3 linked regions of the Elephas maximus indicus genome follow. The protein of the gene in region 3 interacts with the protein of the main gene of each other region in a pairwise test. Links are inferred from orthologs where the notes say so. Each region holds a gene or a part of one and is shown on either strand. Other genes may lie near its edges. The genes, in order: ASF1A, KHDRBS2 and PRR3.

Evidence for each region.
Region 1: the proteins of PRR3 (region 3) and ASF1A interact in binary tests that used the Homo sapiens proteins (3 or more experiments, as listed by UniProt). The two-hybrid records come from large-scale screens. The link is inferred for Elephas maximus indicus from reciprocal best matches to the Homo sapiens genes PRR3 and ASF1A.
Region 2: the proteins of PRR3 (region 3) and KHDRBS2 interact in binary tests that used the Homo sapiens proteins (3 or more experiments, as listed by UniProt). The two-hybrid records come from large-scale screens. The link is inferred for Elephas maximus indicus from reciprocal best matches to the Homo sapiens genes PRR3 and KHDRBS2.

Annotation. Positions count from the first base shown.
Region 1 is NC_064819.1:186,030,083-186,033,831, forward strand, and holds the start of ASF1A (histone chaperone ASF1A), read left to right. Parts: upstream 1-1,124; 5' UTR 1,125-1,456; coding exon 1,457-1,565; intron 1,566-3,749. UniProt on the Homo sapiens protein: Histone chaperone that facilitates histone deposition and histone exchange and removal during nucleosome assembly and disassembly.
Region 2 is NC_064819.1:124,917,582-124,921,330, reverse strand, and holds the start of KHDRBS2 (KH domain-containing, RNA-binding, signal transduction-associated protein 2), read left to right. Parts: upstream 1-1,418; 5' UTR 1,419-1,646; coding exon 1,647-1,737; intron 1,738-3,749. UniProt on the Homo sapiens protein: RNA-binding protein that plays a role in the regulation of alternative splicing and influences mRNA splice site selection and exon inclusion. Binds both poly(A) and poly(U) homopolymers. Phosphorylation by PTK6 inhibits its RNA-binding ability.
Region 3 is NC_064819.1:90,905,636-90,909,384, forward strand, and holds the start of PRR3 (proline-rich protein 3), read left to right. Parts: upstream 1-1,433; 5' UTR 1,434-1,630; coding exon 1,631-1,736; intron 1,737-2,399; coding exon 2,400-2,462; intron 2,463-3,749. Other genes in the region: GNL1 (guanine nucleotide-binding protein-like 1), read right to left, coding at 1-5, 417-489.

The sequences.
Region 1 (3,749 bases), about 95 Mb from region 3:
TTCTCCCTACCCAAAAACCCAGTGCCATCGATTCGATTCCGACTCATAGCGACCCTTCTCCCTAACCCCCAAACCCAGACCCAGTGCCGTCGAGTCGATTCCGAGTCGTCAAGCAGCAGAAATCCACATTTCCTCAGTTAAGACCTGAAGTGGTTACAGGCAAGCAAAACCTCTTCAGAATCTTGTTTGAGGTGCCACAAATTTTTAACTTCATAACGGTATAACCGTTAATTTTTTTAAAAGATCAAATGTTTTGGTATACCTCTGTGTTCTTTTTCATTTTCTATTTATTGCCTTTTAGCGTCCTCACGCTTTCTTTTTCACCTTTTACGTTCCTGCTATGCCCTCCAAATGGCAGTAATTTTGGGGGGTAACAGATCACATCTCTAGTAACGTTTTTCTCACCCTAGGAGTTTTCAGATCTCGAATGCAGACGAAGATGACCCAGGTGCAGCCCAAAGATAGCCTATTCAGATTTTCCACGCAAAGTGTGTGAGTGGAAAAGCATCTCCTCATCTTTTATGTCTATTTATCCAACGGTGCTGTCATGCCCAAAAGCAGATATTGCCCAACCACTAAAATTTCCAAAATGGCTTTACTCCTTTCGAGCTGGCATAGGGCTATAAAATGCAATTTACTTCCACTGCAACCAGTCCTTCCCTCTACTCCAAATACTACCCGATACATAGACAACTGAACTGAATCTCATCTCCTAAATTCAGCGGAAAGCCGGCAAGGCCCTTGATTGATTTAAAAAAAAAAAAAAAAAAGAGCTCAGTTAAAAAAAAAAAAACCAAGATGCAAAACCGAGGCGGGCGTCGCCCGGGATCGCGCCCTCCCGCCGCCTCCGCCACTGCGAACACGCCCTAGGCCATGTGGCCACGCCCCCGGCCGTCGCCGCCGCGGCCTCTCCTCTCACCTCCCTCGCGGTGGTCACGCCTCCCTCCCCGTGCCCGCCGCGGCCACGCCCGACGTGAGGCGCGGGAGTCGCCGGGCCGGGGGCGGGGCCTGCGCCGCCCCTCCCCCCGCCTGCGGCGGCGTCCTCCGCGCGGGCCTCCCAGCCCGTATTCCACTCACTTTGTTCTCCGCCTTTGTCCTAATCCACACCAGCAGGTGGAGCCGCAGTTAAAGTTTCCGAGTCCATTCCGGGAGCGGGAGCCCATCTTGCTCGCTGCCGAGGCCCTTGCTGGAGGAGGAGGGTCAGAGCTCCGGTGCAGCCAATCGCGGCCAACGCTGCTAGTTATCCGAGCAGAATGGGCTGTAGTTTAGTGAAATAGGAAAGCTGCAAAAACACTGAGTGCTGCCGTGTAAATAAAAAGGAAAAAAAGTTTCTCAAGTCGCCACTGCACGACGTCGGGCCGGCACCGGGGCGGGGGTCTGCGCTCACCGGAGCGGCCGCACGCTGGACTTTATTGTGCCGCAACAAGCCCCGTCCCCATTGTTTGTTTTTCAAAATATGGCAAAGGTTCAGGTGAACAATGTAGTGGTGCTGGATAACCCTTCTCCTTTCTACAACCCGTTCCAGTTCGAGATCACCTTCGAGTGCATCGAGGACCTGTCTGAAGGTGAGTAGCGGCGCCCGCCGCCCGCCCAGGCTGTCAGTTGCGGGCTGCAGACGTTGAAAGTTTCCCGGGCCCGGCCTTGCGCGGCTGGCGCTGCTCGGCGCCCGGCGGCTGCGGTCTCAGCTCTGCGGAGGGAAACTTGAAGTTGATGGACGACGGCCCCTGAGGCGCGCGCGGTGTTCGGCCGCAGCCAAGGCGTCTGCCGCGGCAGCTCAAGTTGCGAGGAACTTGTTCGAGCGGAGGTAGCCATGTTGTCAGCTTTGTCTGGGGGGCGGGAGGTTCGCGAGACCCTCACTCGCGCCCGCGGTGGCGGCGGGTGAGGGGCGCGCCGGGCCGGCCCCCCGCCTCGAACGGCCTCCGCGACTGCCGCGGCCCCGGGGTAGAGGCCCGGGAAGGAGAGGCGTGTGTGTATGTGGCGGTGGCGGCGAGTTAGGAACGGAGCCATCTTACCAAGACTGGAGAATTGGGCTACGGACGCCGGCGTCACGGCGCCTCCTCTTCCCCACCGCGGGTTCTGAACCCGCGCCCGGCCTGCCCACCTTCCTGCCCCCGAGTGAATGGGAAGTCCGTTTTTACAGCTTACGGAAGAGTTGCCCTACTCTCCTGGGTGGCCATGCCCGGCCGCCTCAGGGAGGAGAGCGAGGCTGTTCTCGCGCTGATTTCTGGCTCCCTCGACCAACCAGCGGGGGAGGCGGGCGCAGGCTCGGCCCCTCCGTGCCGCGGGCTGGGCGCCGACGCTCCCCGGGGACCGCGGGCCCTCCCCGGCCAGCCACCGGGCTGCTCCGGGTGCCCGGGGATGCTCCGGAGCCCGGGATGCTGGCGCGTAAGCTCGCACCGACGAACGTGAATTCCTTTTCCTTAATGACTAAAATCTCCTTTCCTCTCTCTCAGGAAGAAAAATGTTTCTAAGCTAGAAAGTTACATTTAACCCAAGAGCACAAATAAGTAAAATCCTTAAATTTCCAGGACTTAATCACTGGCTTCTAAATAGTCAAAGAAGACTTGGCTTCAAGAACGTGTTGAATTCTAACTAAAATAACTCCACATCCACACAGATACAGAATACATTCTGAACTTTAAACACAAAAGTGAGCTAGAAATAAAAGGTAAAGTCCTGATGGCAATGCAAAAATTTTCACTATTTTTTTCTAAATACGTTTAAGGATTTTAAAAAAGATAACTATTTTTAGTATTACAGTAATAAATATTTGGAAAGTGAAAACTTGCCAAAGTCTTACCTTTGCTTAACTTCGATTTTATTAAATCAATACAGTGCTTCATTTTCAGAATTTAGGGGAAAAAAGTTTAAGCTCATCAATGTTAATTTTACAGTAGGGGCTTGCTTCTTTGAACCTACATGTATTTTTGACAAAATACATTTAAAATAATTGTGCTAATCATGGCATGCAAAGCATTATTTTCATTAAAAAAATTAGTTTTTAACTTCTATAAAGTGTATTTTACATAGGGTGGTAACTTTAATAAAGCAATATTTGCTCTTTATACTTAGTTTTAAACATTGTATGTACAGATAGTATATAAAGTTAACAGTTCTCTAGTCATTGTTTTCGCCCATCTCCTTTAGGTAACCACAATTAACACTTTAATATGTGTCCTTCCATCCAGTTTTAATAAATACAACAGAGTAGAACTGCCTCATATAGTTTCCAAAGGAGCGCCTGGTGGATTGGAACTTCCAACCCTTAGGTTAACATAACTATATATATTAAATATAAGGCATATTTTGAAAGATCTATTTATTAATCTAATTGCTAAATTGATTGTAAAATTAAAGATGCTTTTCCTATTATTTGGAAACTGCTTGATAACTCTCTCATAGTACAACTACAAGCATTTCAGATACCAGGCTCATTTTTCATACCTAACAGTTTTTCCTTTTCCTTGCCAACTGCGTATAAAAGTCAGGGAATGTAAGAGAAACCATAGATCAGTCCCTTCCAACTTTCGCTACAGTGTTTTAGGCATTAGAAGTTCAAATTACAGTTATTTCTCAGGTGATGCCTTCCATTTTAAGACTCAGCTCTCAACAAGGGAGATAGAAGGTTCAGGATGTTGTACCAGAGCTGTTATATCGGATGGTTGAAACCCGCCGTTCATGGAAGCCAAATTACTATGTTTTCCATTCAGAATCCAGCTGAATCACACTTAAGGTTTTTACACTACTGA
Region 2 (3,749 bases), about 34 Mb from region 3:
AAGCACTTTACATTTTTTAAACTTCATATAAATTCAAGATAATTTCCTGGATTTATCTTTTAAAAATATAAGGAAAAGATACAAATGCTGAAACAGAACTTGGCAAAGTTTCAGCATGTCTTATTTCTAGCGATCTTGGCCCTTTTCCTCCCACACCAAAAATGGTGGAGGGAGGCATTAAAAATGATTGTGAAAAGAGAGCCCAAGACCACGGGAAAGAGTGGTTTATAGAATTTGAAGAACACAGCCTAGATTTTAAGGCCCCTTGGTAAGAAAGGCCTGGCCAACTATTTCTCAAACATGAGCCACTGAAAACCCAATGGAGCACAATTCTACTCTAACACAGATGGGGTCCTGGTGATTCAGGTAAACTGCACGGCAACTAGCAGCTGGCTGGTTGTTTTTATCTAAGAGAAGGATGGGCTGTGCCTCCGCTGTTGTTAATACTGGGAGGATTAGACTCTCCCTTTAAACAGAGGTGGGAAAGATATAAAGTAGCTCAGCGACAATGCCTGGTGAAAGAAACTGTCACATCTACAATAAGGAAAAAAAAAAGGGGGGGGGGGAATTAGAACAACTGTAGTTGCCTATTTTTCCTTCCTCCACATGTCTTCTAATTCCTTCACAAGCTGTGGCCAATTGATTATGTTGTTTTTAGTTTTTTTTTTTTTTATTTTTTAAATTCACTCCTCTTCCCCGGCAATCTCTCTCCCAAGGGTAGGGGGAAGGAAGGCTGGATGGGAGGGAAACCAGAACTAAATCAATACCCCGAATGATTGCGCTCTGGGTCGTGTACAACAATATCGCCCCGGAGCCGCTTTATTTGTTTATCTGCGTCCCTGAGATGTAGGTCAGGCTCACTGAAAATACCAGCCGCCGATCACATGCAGTATTCATTATATTTTCAGACCGAGTGCACGGCTGATTACTGCAAAACTGGAGTGCATCTGAGCTGCGGGAGAGGGAGAAGACACCTGTGCCTTTGGGACGCAGGTGAAGTCCCATCTACGTTCCGGAGACTTTCCCTGGCGCTTTCCCATTCCTTTTTTGCTCACTTCTCACCCTCATTTTTCCTGCTGTCTTGGACCAGAGCCTCTCTGTATTACCGGTGCTTTTCCCGCTCTTCTCCATCCGAACCTCAGCTGAAGACACAGAGGGCTCCATAGAACTGGGCATGCCTAATAACCAGGGAAGGCTTGCGCTGCAAGAAGAATGCGTTTGCACCTTCTGAGCACCCCTCCCCTCTGCAGCTGCCTCCTGCCAGTCAGGCGATCCGATGTGCAGCGTGGCCCAATAAGACCCTGTCGCCTTCGCTGGGGACCCGCCTCTCCTTGCACCACCACCAATGAATGGTTGGCAGAGGTGGGACGCACCGTGTTCCCGCCTCTCCAGTTAAGGCCGCTGGTGTGAGCCCGGGCTCCGCGCGAGCGAGGGACCGGGGAAGGGACTGGCAGGTGTGGGCGCGGGGCCGCGCAGCCCGACGGCGGGAGTCACAGGCACTCAGTGCATGGGCCAGTGAGGACGCGCGGAGATCCCCGCGCCGCGGCGGAGGCGGAGCAGCGCAGGAGCTAGGCGCTGCCTGGCGACCCTGCGTCCGAGCGAGCGGAACCTTGCGCTTCGCCCGGGGACGGTCCGAAGTCCGAGCTATGGAAGAGGAGAAATATTTGCCTGAGCTGATGGCAGAGAAAGATAGCCTGGATCCATCTTTTGTGCACGCATCGCGCCTTTTGGCGGAAGGTAGGACCTGCCCCCTGCGATGGGCACGGGCCACCCGGCCGCCCATCTCGCCGCCAGCTGGGTTAGGGGAGTGAAGTTGGGGAGGGACGCCTGTCTCCACCTTCACAGAAACTGTCCCTCTGAATGAAGGTGCTCGCCTCACCCCTCGGGCAGACAGAGCCCGTTCTTGGAGTGGGCACCTATGCTCCTTCTCCTCCACGTCTTAATTTGTGGAAGACCAAAGCTGCGAGATCTACTGCCAGTGGAGATGTGGACCATTGATAGAGAAACCATAAAGTGTAACGCGGTCTACAGGGACATATTCACGTCGCAGAGGGAAGGGAAATGAGTTTGGAAGTAAATGGTGATCAGTGTAGTGTTCTGAGAGCTTTGTATAGCTACAGATCAGCATTTTTTACTGCATTTGGGAAGTGATTTTGATACCCTTTGATCTAATTAGTCTTTCTTATGGAAAGTATTAGAATCAACCTAGATGTAAGTATGCATGTTCGTGTATGTATGTGAATGTCGCAAGCAGACGCGCAAGTGCTTATAAATTTATTTGAAGTATGATGATTAGGTACTAGTTCCTAGGAACGCTCCTCAATTGATCAACTCTTTTACCAAGTATGCATTTTCTTTTATGTACTTGTACTGTTAAAGGAGATTCCATTCCCAGAGGAATATGTGTGTCTTGTCTTTTGCATTGCTTTGAAAGGTCGTCTAAAAAAAGACACGCACGCACGCACACACACACACAACTTCTGCATGGCAGAAATATTAACCAATTACTCCATTTATCATGAAATACTACCCTCAAAATGATAAAGATTCCTACAGTATCTGTAGTAATCTATACACACTTAAAAAAAAGTACAGACTTTTTGGATGAAGGCTTCATGAATAATGAATTGCTTCATCATCAAATTGGCTACAGTGCAGTTTTGTAGCTTGGGTTCTTATGGATTTAACTACAGTAAAACTAACCGTGACAACTTTCTCTTTCTCAGCCCCTCAGCGTTAAAAGAAATGCCATTTTTGAGACTTAGTTGTATGTGGAAAGATAAATTTTTCTACAACTCCATATATGATTCAGTAGGCATTAGGCTTATTTTAATATTTTATTGATGGATTATTATGTAGGATAACAATAAAGCATAAATTGTGTTCTATCTTTGCCTGGAAAAAATTTCTAATTAGAATATGGAATATATGATTGAAACAACTGAACTGTTTTTCAAGAAAAATGCGTTTTGTGAAGGATTTGCGGAGGGTAAAGTACAGTTGTGCTTACTAGTTTCTTGGCTACTGAATGGAAAAAAATAGAAATTAAAGTTGAGAATAAAAGTCAATTAAAAATTTTAAAACTACTGCAAAAATTAAGACCGCTAGGTAAAAATACTAGGAATATTGGAAATTAATGAAGCTATAAATGTTCAGGATTGTTCAAAAATGGCTTGAAAATGCAATTAAGCCTCTTCGAAAAGTTTATTTCAATATATTTTTCAGAAGTGTCTTCATTTAGCTAGTATGTCTTAAAATGAAAAAAAAAAAGTTACAAATTGATCTTTTTCTCCAACTTGCTAATTGGAGTTCTCTTTGGGACTGCATGCTCCATGATTAATTCATCAGTCATTAATGAGATTTATTGTACTTTTGAAAATTAAACTAAAGCAGTGCATAGGAGAAACTCTTAACAGAGTGCATAGATACTTCTGCAGCTGGTAAAACAGCCAGAGAAGGTTATGCACCTGGTTTCTTAACACTTTTTCTTTCCCAGGAACTTGATTTCATGATACCTGAGAAACATGGTCGGATGTACCTTGTAATTTGATTTTTTCCCAGTAGGGGGAAGCATGTCCTGCTTTTGTAAAGAAGAGAAAAAGCACCTAAACAGAAGGGGACAGCATCTAAGTAAGAAACAAAGAGAGGTGCCCAGATTTCAGAGACATAAAGGGCAACAGAGAAAGTGATGATTAATTATCTTGGGGTTCACTATGACTTATGCCAAAAGACGCATAGTGTTTAAATTA
Region 3 (3,749 bases):
AAGCCCTGCTGGGAGGGGCCGGTGACGCCAGCGCCGGCCGGTTCTCAGGGGCCATAAGATCCCCCTCCCCAGGCGGCCTGGCTCCTCCTCACCCCACCGCACCTCTTTCGAGGCCGGGCCCTTCTAGTCAGTCGGCCCAGGACCCCCCCGGAATTGCGTGAGGGGACTCACCCCTCCTCCAGAGAGCTGCGGGGATGGCGCCCCGTACGAGCTGAAGGGATTCCCCTCCCCCAACTCCCTCTCCTTCCCCATCCCTTCCAGATGTCGGGGGGCTAAGGTGGAGGAATCTCCTCTGCGATCGCCGGCGCGGGTCGTCGCGCGCTCCCCCCCTCCCACGCCCCCCAGAGGTGCGGAGGGCACACCTCTCCCTCCAGATGTGCGGGAGCCCGAGCCCCGCCCCCTCCTCCCTCGCTGACCTCGCTTCCGCTCTCGCTTGTCCTGCAACTGCTTCTTCTTCTGCTTCACGCTGAAGGGCTTCTTCCTCGGCATGGCCCGGACCAGACACCTGGCCCGCCCTCCGCCGAGCTCCCTCCGCCTCAACTGACTCCCCCCCGGCAGCCCCCGCCGCAGGGCCCCGGGACCCTAGAAGGGGCGGGGCTAGCAGGTGACGTCAGCGGGCGGGCCGGGCCACTCACCGCGTCGGCCTGACTGAAAGGCGGACAGGGCAAATACAGTCACTTCCCTCCAGGAGCGTGGCGAGAGGATGATGCCGCGTGGCCTACCCGCGCATGAGAGCCGGTCGCACCGAGAGGGCGCAGCGGCGGCAAGGAAAGAGGTGCGCGTGGGAGGATCGGGCTAACTTCGTCACGGACGCTACCAACTCGCTATCGGAGGAGGGGAGACGTATGTCATCACTACCTTGCGCGGCCGGCGAGAAGCTACCACTCACCTGGAGGGGGAGGCGGAGCGGAGGGCGGGCCCTACCACCCAGGGGAGAAGGGGGCGGGGACACATAGAAGCTCCCTTACCAACCCGGAGGCTTGACCTTAGTGGAGAGCCGAGACGGCGCGTCCCAGGAGTGAATACAGGTTGCTGGGCTACAGCTAGGGGCCGGGGCAGAGGTCCTGAAGGGCAGGTGGCGATCTGAAGAATCTCGGGCGCTGCTCTGCTGGGACCCAAATTCTTTGTGAGAATGATGACAAGGAGCGAGTTTACAGATTTATGTATAAGCGCGGGCGAGGAGGAAAACCTACATGGGATAAAGACTTTCGGAGAGAGGTCGGAGGGCACGAAGTTGTGCCTGCAGCTGTTACCATGGTAACCGGGTACCGGATGTGGCGATCTTAGGATGCGACAGCCCTCGCTTCTCAGGCCTCCTGGCCCAAGACCCTCTCGACTATATGGCACACTGTGAGGAACGGGTTGTGGTGTTTTCTCTGCGGCGAGGAAGAATAGAATATTTTTTAAGCCTCTATAAAAACGCAGCAAAGAGAAGGTTCTACATCGCGTCCATGCCTGGCAAAGACCTGAGGATGCGGCTGCAGCAGAGACTCCCCGCAGCCTTCCGGAAGTGAAATGGCGGGAGTCTCAGCCTCACTGTCCACCGTCCCCCCGGAAGCGGAAACAGAATCCCAGCTTGCCCCTTCCTCACTGCCCTCCAAATTCTACTGCAGCCATTCCCGCAGCCACGATGCCAAAACGAAAGAAGCAGAATCAGCAGCAGCAGCTTCCACCGCCGCAGCCCCCACTGCCAGAGCCGGGAGAGACTGGAGACGAGGACGACAGAAGTCCCATCGGTGAGGAGCCCGGGAGGTGCACCTGCCTGTCAGCCCGTCCTGGCGAGGGGCTAGGGGCTGACAAGGTGGGGAGGAGATCCTCTAATGGAAGAAGGAAGGGTGCACGCGCTGGGAGAGGGGGCCTATCTGGGATGAAGCCCTGAACGTGGAGTTCTCTTATTTGGACTTTCAACCTTAATCTGACCCCCAAACCTTTTTAGAGAAGGCAGGGAGGAGAGGATAAAGAGCTCGTGCGCGCAGCCGCAGAACGGCAGGGGAGAGGAGCCGAAGAGAGGTTGCAGATTGGGGTGACTAGGATGATTTGTGATCAGATTTTCACAGGAAAGGTGAAAGTGCAGCCTTTTCTCAGCTGCTCTCTGGGGGGGGAGGGATGGGAAGGAGAATCACCTGGGATGTTTTGAATATCAACACTGTAAGAAAAATAGAAAGTTGTCAGTATCCTTCCCACATTATTCTCCCCAGGGCTGAGTCTCTACTTTTTGCAAACCCTGACACAGGTTTGCAGAGAAAGGGCAGATAAGTGGAGTGAGAACTGGGCAACATGGCTGAGAATATATTTGGCTTTGTTGGTTGGACTAAGAAATGTGTAATAGAAGAAAAACACACGTAAGAACTCAGTCATTTAGTCCACTCTAGTGACCATATTTTCATGTCTACTCTCAGGACCACCCAGCCTTCTGGGCCCTCCCCCCATGGCCAATGGAAAGCCTGGTGACCCCAAGTCAGGTGAGAAGGAAGGGGCCCTGAACCTTGGATTAAATCCTAGAGAAGGGAGCAAGGGAGGGAGTAAAACCCAGGCGGGACCTTAAATCAAAAGACCAGTGCTTCTGTGCCTAAGTAAATGGAGAGATGTTGATAGTCACAGAGTGGAAACTCAATGTTGTAAAAATGTCATTTCTTCCCAAATTGATCCATAGTTTCAATGCATTCCCAGTCAGAATTCTATCATTTTCTTGTGGAGATAAAGATTCCACCTACATGTCAGAGTGATAAACTGCCAAGATAGTCTTGAAGAATAAAATAGAGGCCTTACTCTGAATATCAAAACTTAATTATAACAGTATGGTATTAGCACGGTGGTAGACCTATAAGTCAATAGAACAGCACAGAGCTCAGAAACAAGCCTACACGTATATGTATTATGATGAAGGTGGCATTAGAAAGGTGGTCTTTTCAGTAAATGGTGCTGGGTCAATTGTATGTTCGTGTGGGAAAAAACAAACTCTTAATCATACTGGGTACAAAAATCAATTCCAAGTGGACTGTAGATCTATAAGTGTGAAAAGTAGAAGAATAATTCTAGAAAAAAGTTCTTACCACCAAGAAACACACACACTAACCGTAGAGAAAAGATCACTAAATTGAACTATGCTAAAAAATATAAACTTCTGTTTATTTAAGAGCGCAAAGGAGTCCCTGGGTGGCACAAACAGTTAAGTGCTCGACTACTGGCCGAAAGATTGGCAGTTCCAACCCACCCGTGGGGCCTTGGAAGATAGGCCTGGCAGTCTGCTTCCAAGGATCACAGCCTTGAAAACCCTAGGAAGCAGTTCTACTCTGCATATATGGGGTTGCCATAAATCGGAATCAACTTGAGGGCAACTAACAAAAAAACTCAAAAGGAAGTGATAGAGTGAGAGAAGATGTGTGCAATGTATGTAATCAATGTGGAGCTTGTATTAAAGAGCTCTTCCAGACAGTCTGTTAGAGAAATGGCAAAAGATGAGAACAGGCACCATCAGAAAAGAGGAGATCTGACTGGCCAATAACATGTGAATAAATACTCAACATTAGTCATCAAATGAATGCAAGTTATAAACAACACCACTTTTCACACTCGCCAGATGACTAAAATGAAAGACTGGCAATAGCAAGTGTTGTCAAAGATATGGAACAACTGCCAGTGGGAGTACAAATTGGTACAACCACACTGAAAAAAATTGACATTAGCTATTAAACTTGAACATACATGTACTCTGTGGCCCAGCAGTTCCTCTACTACGTATATACTCA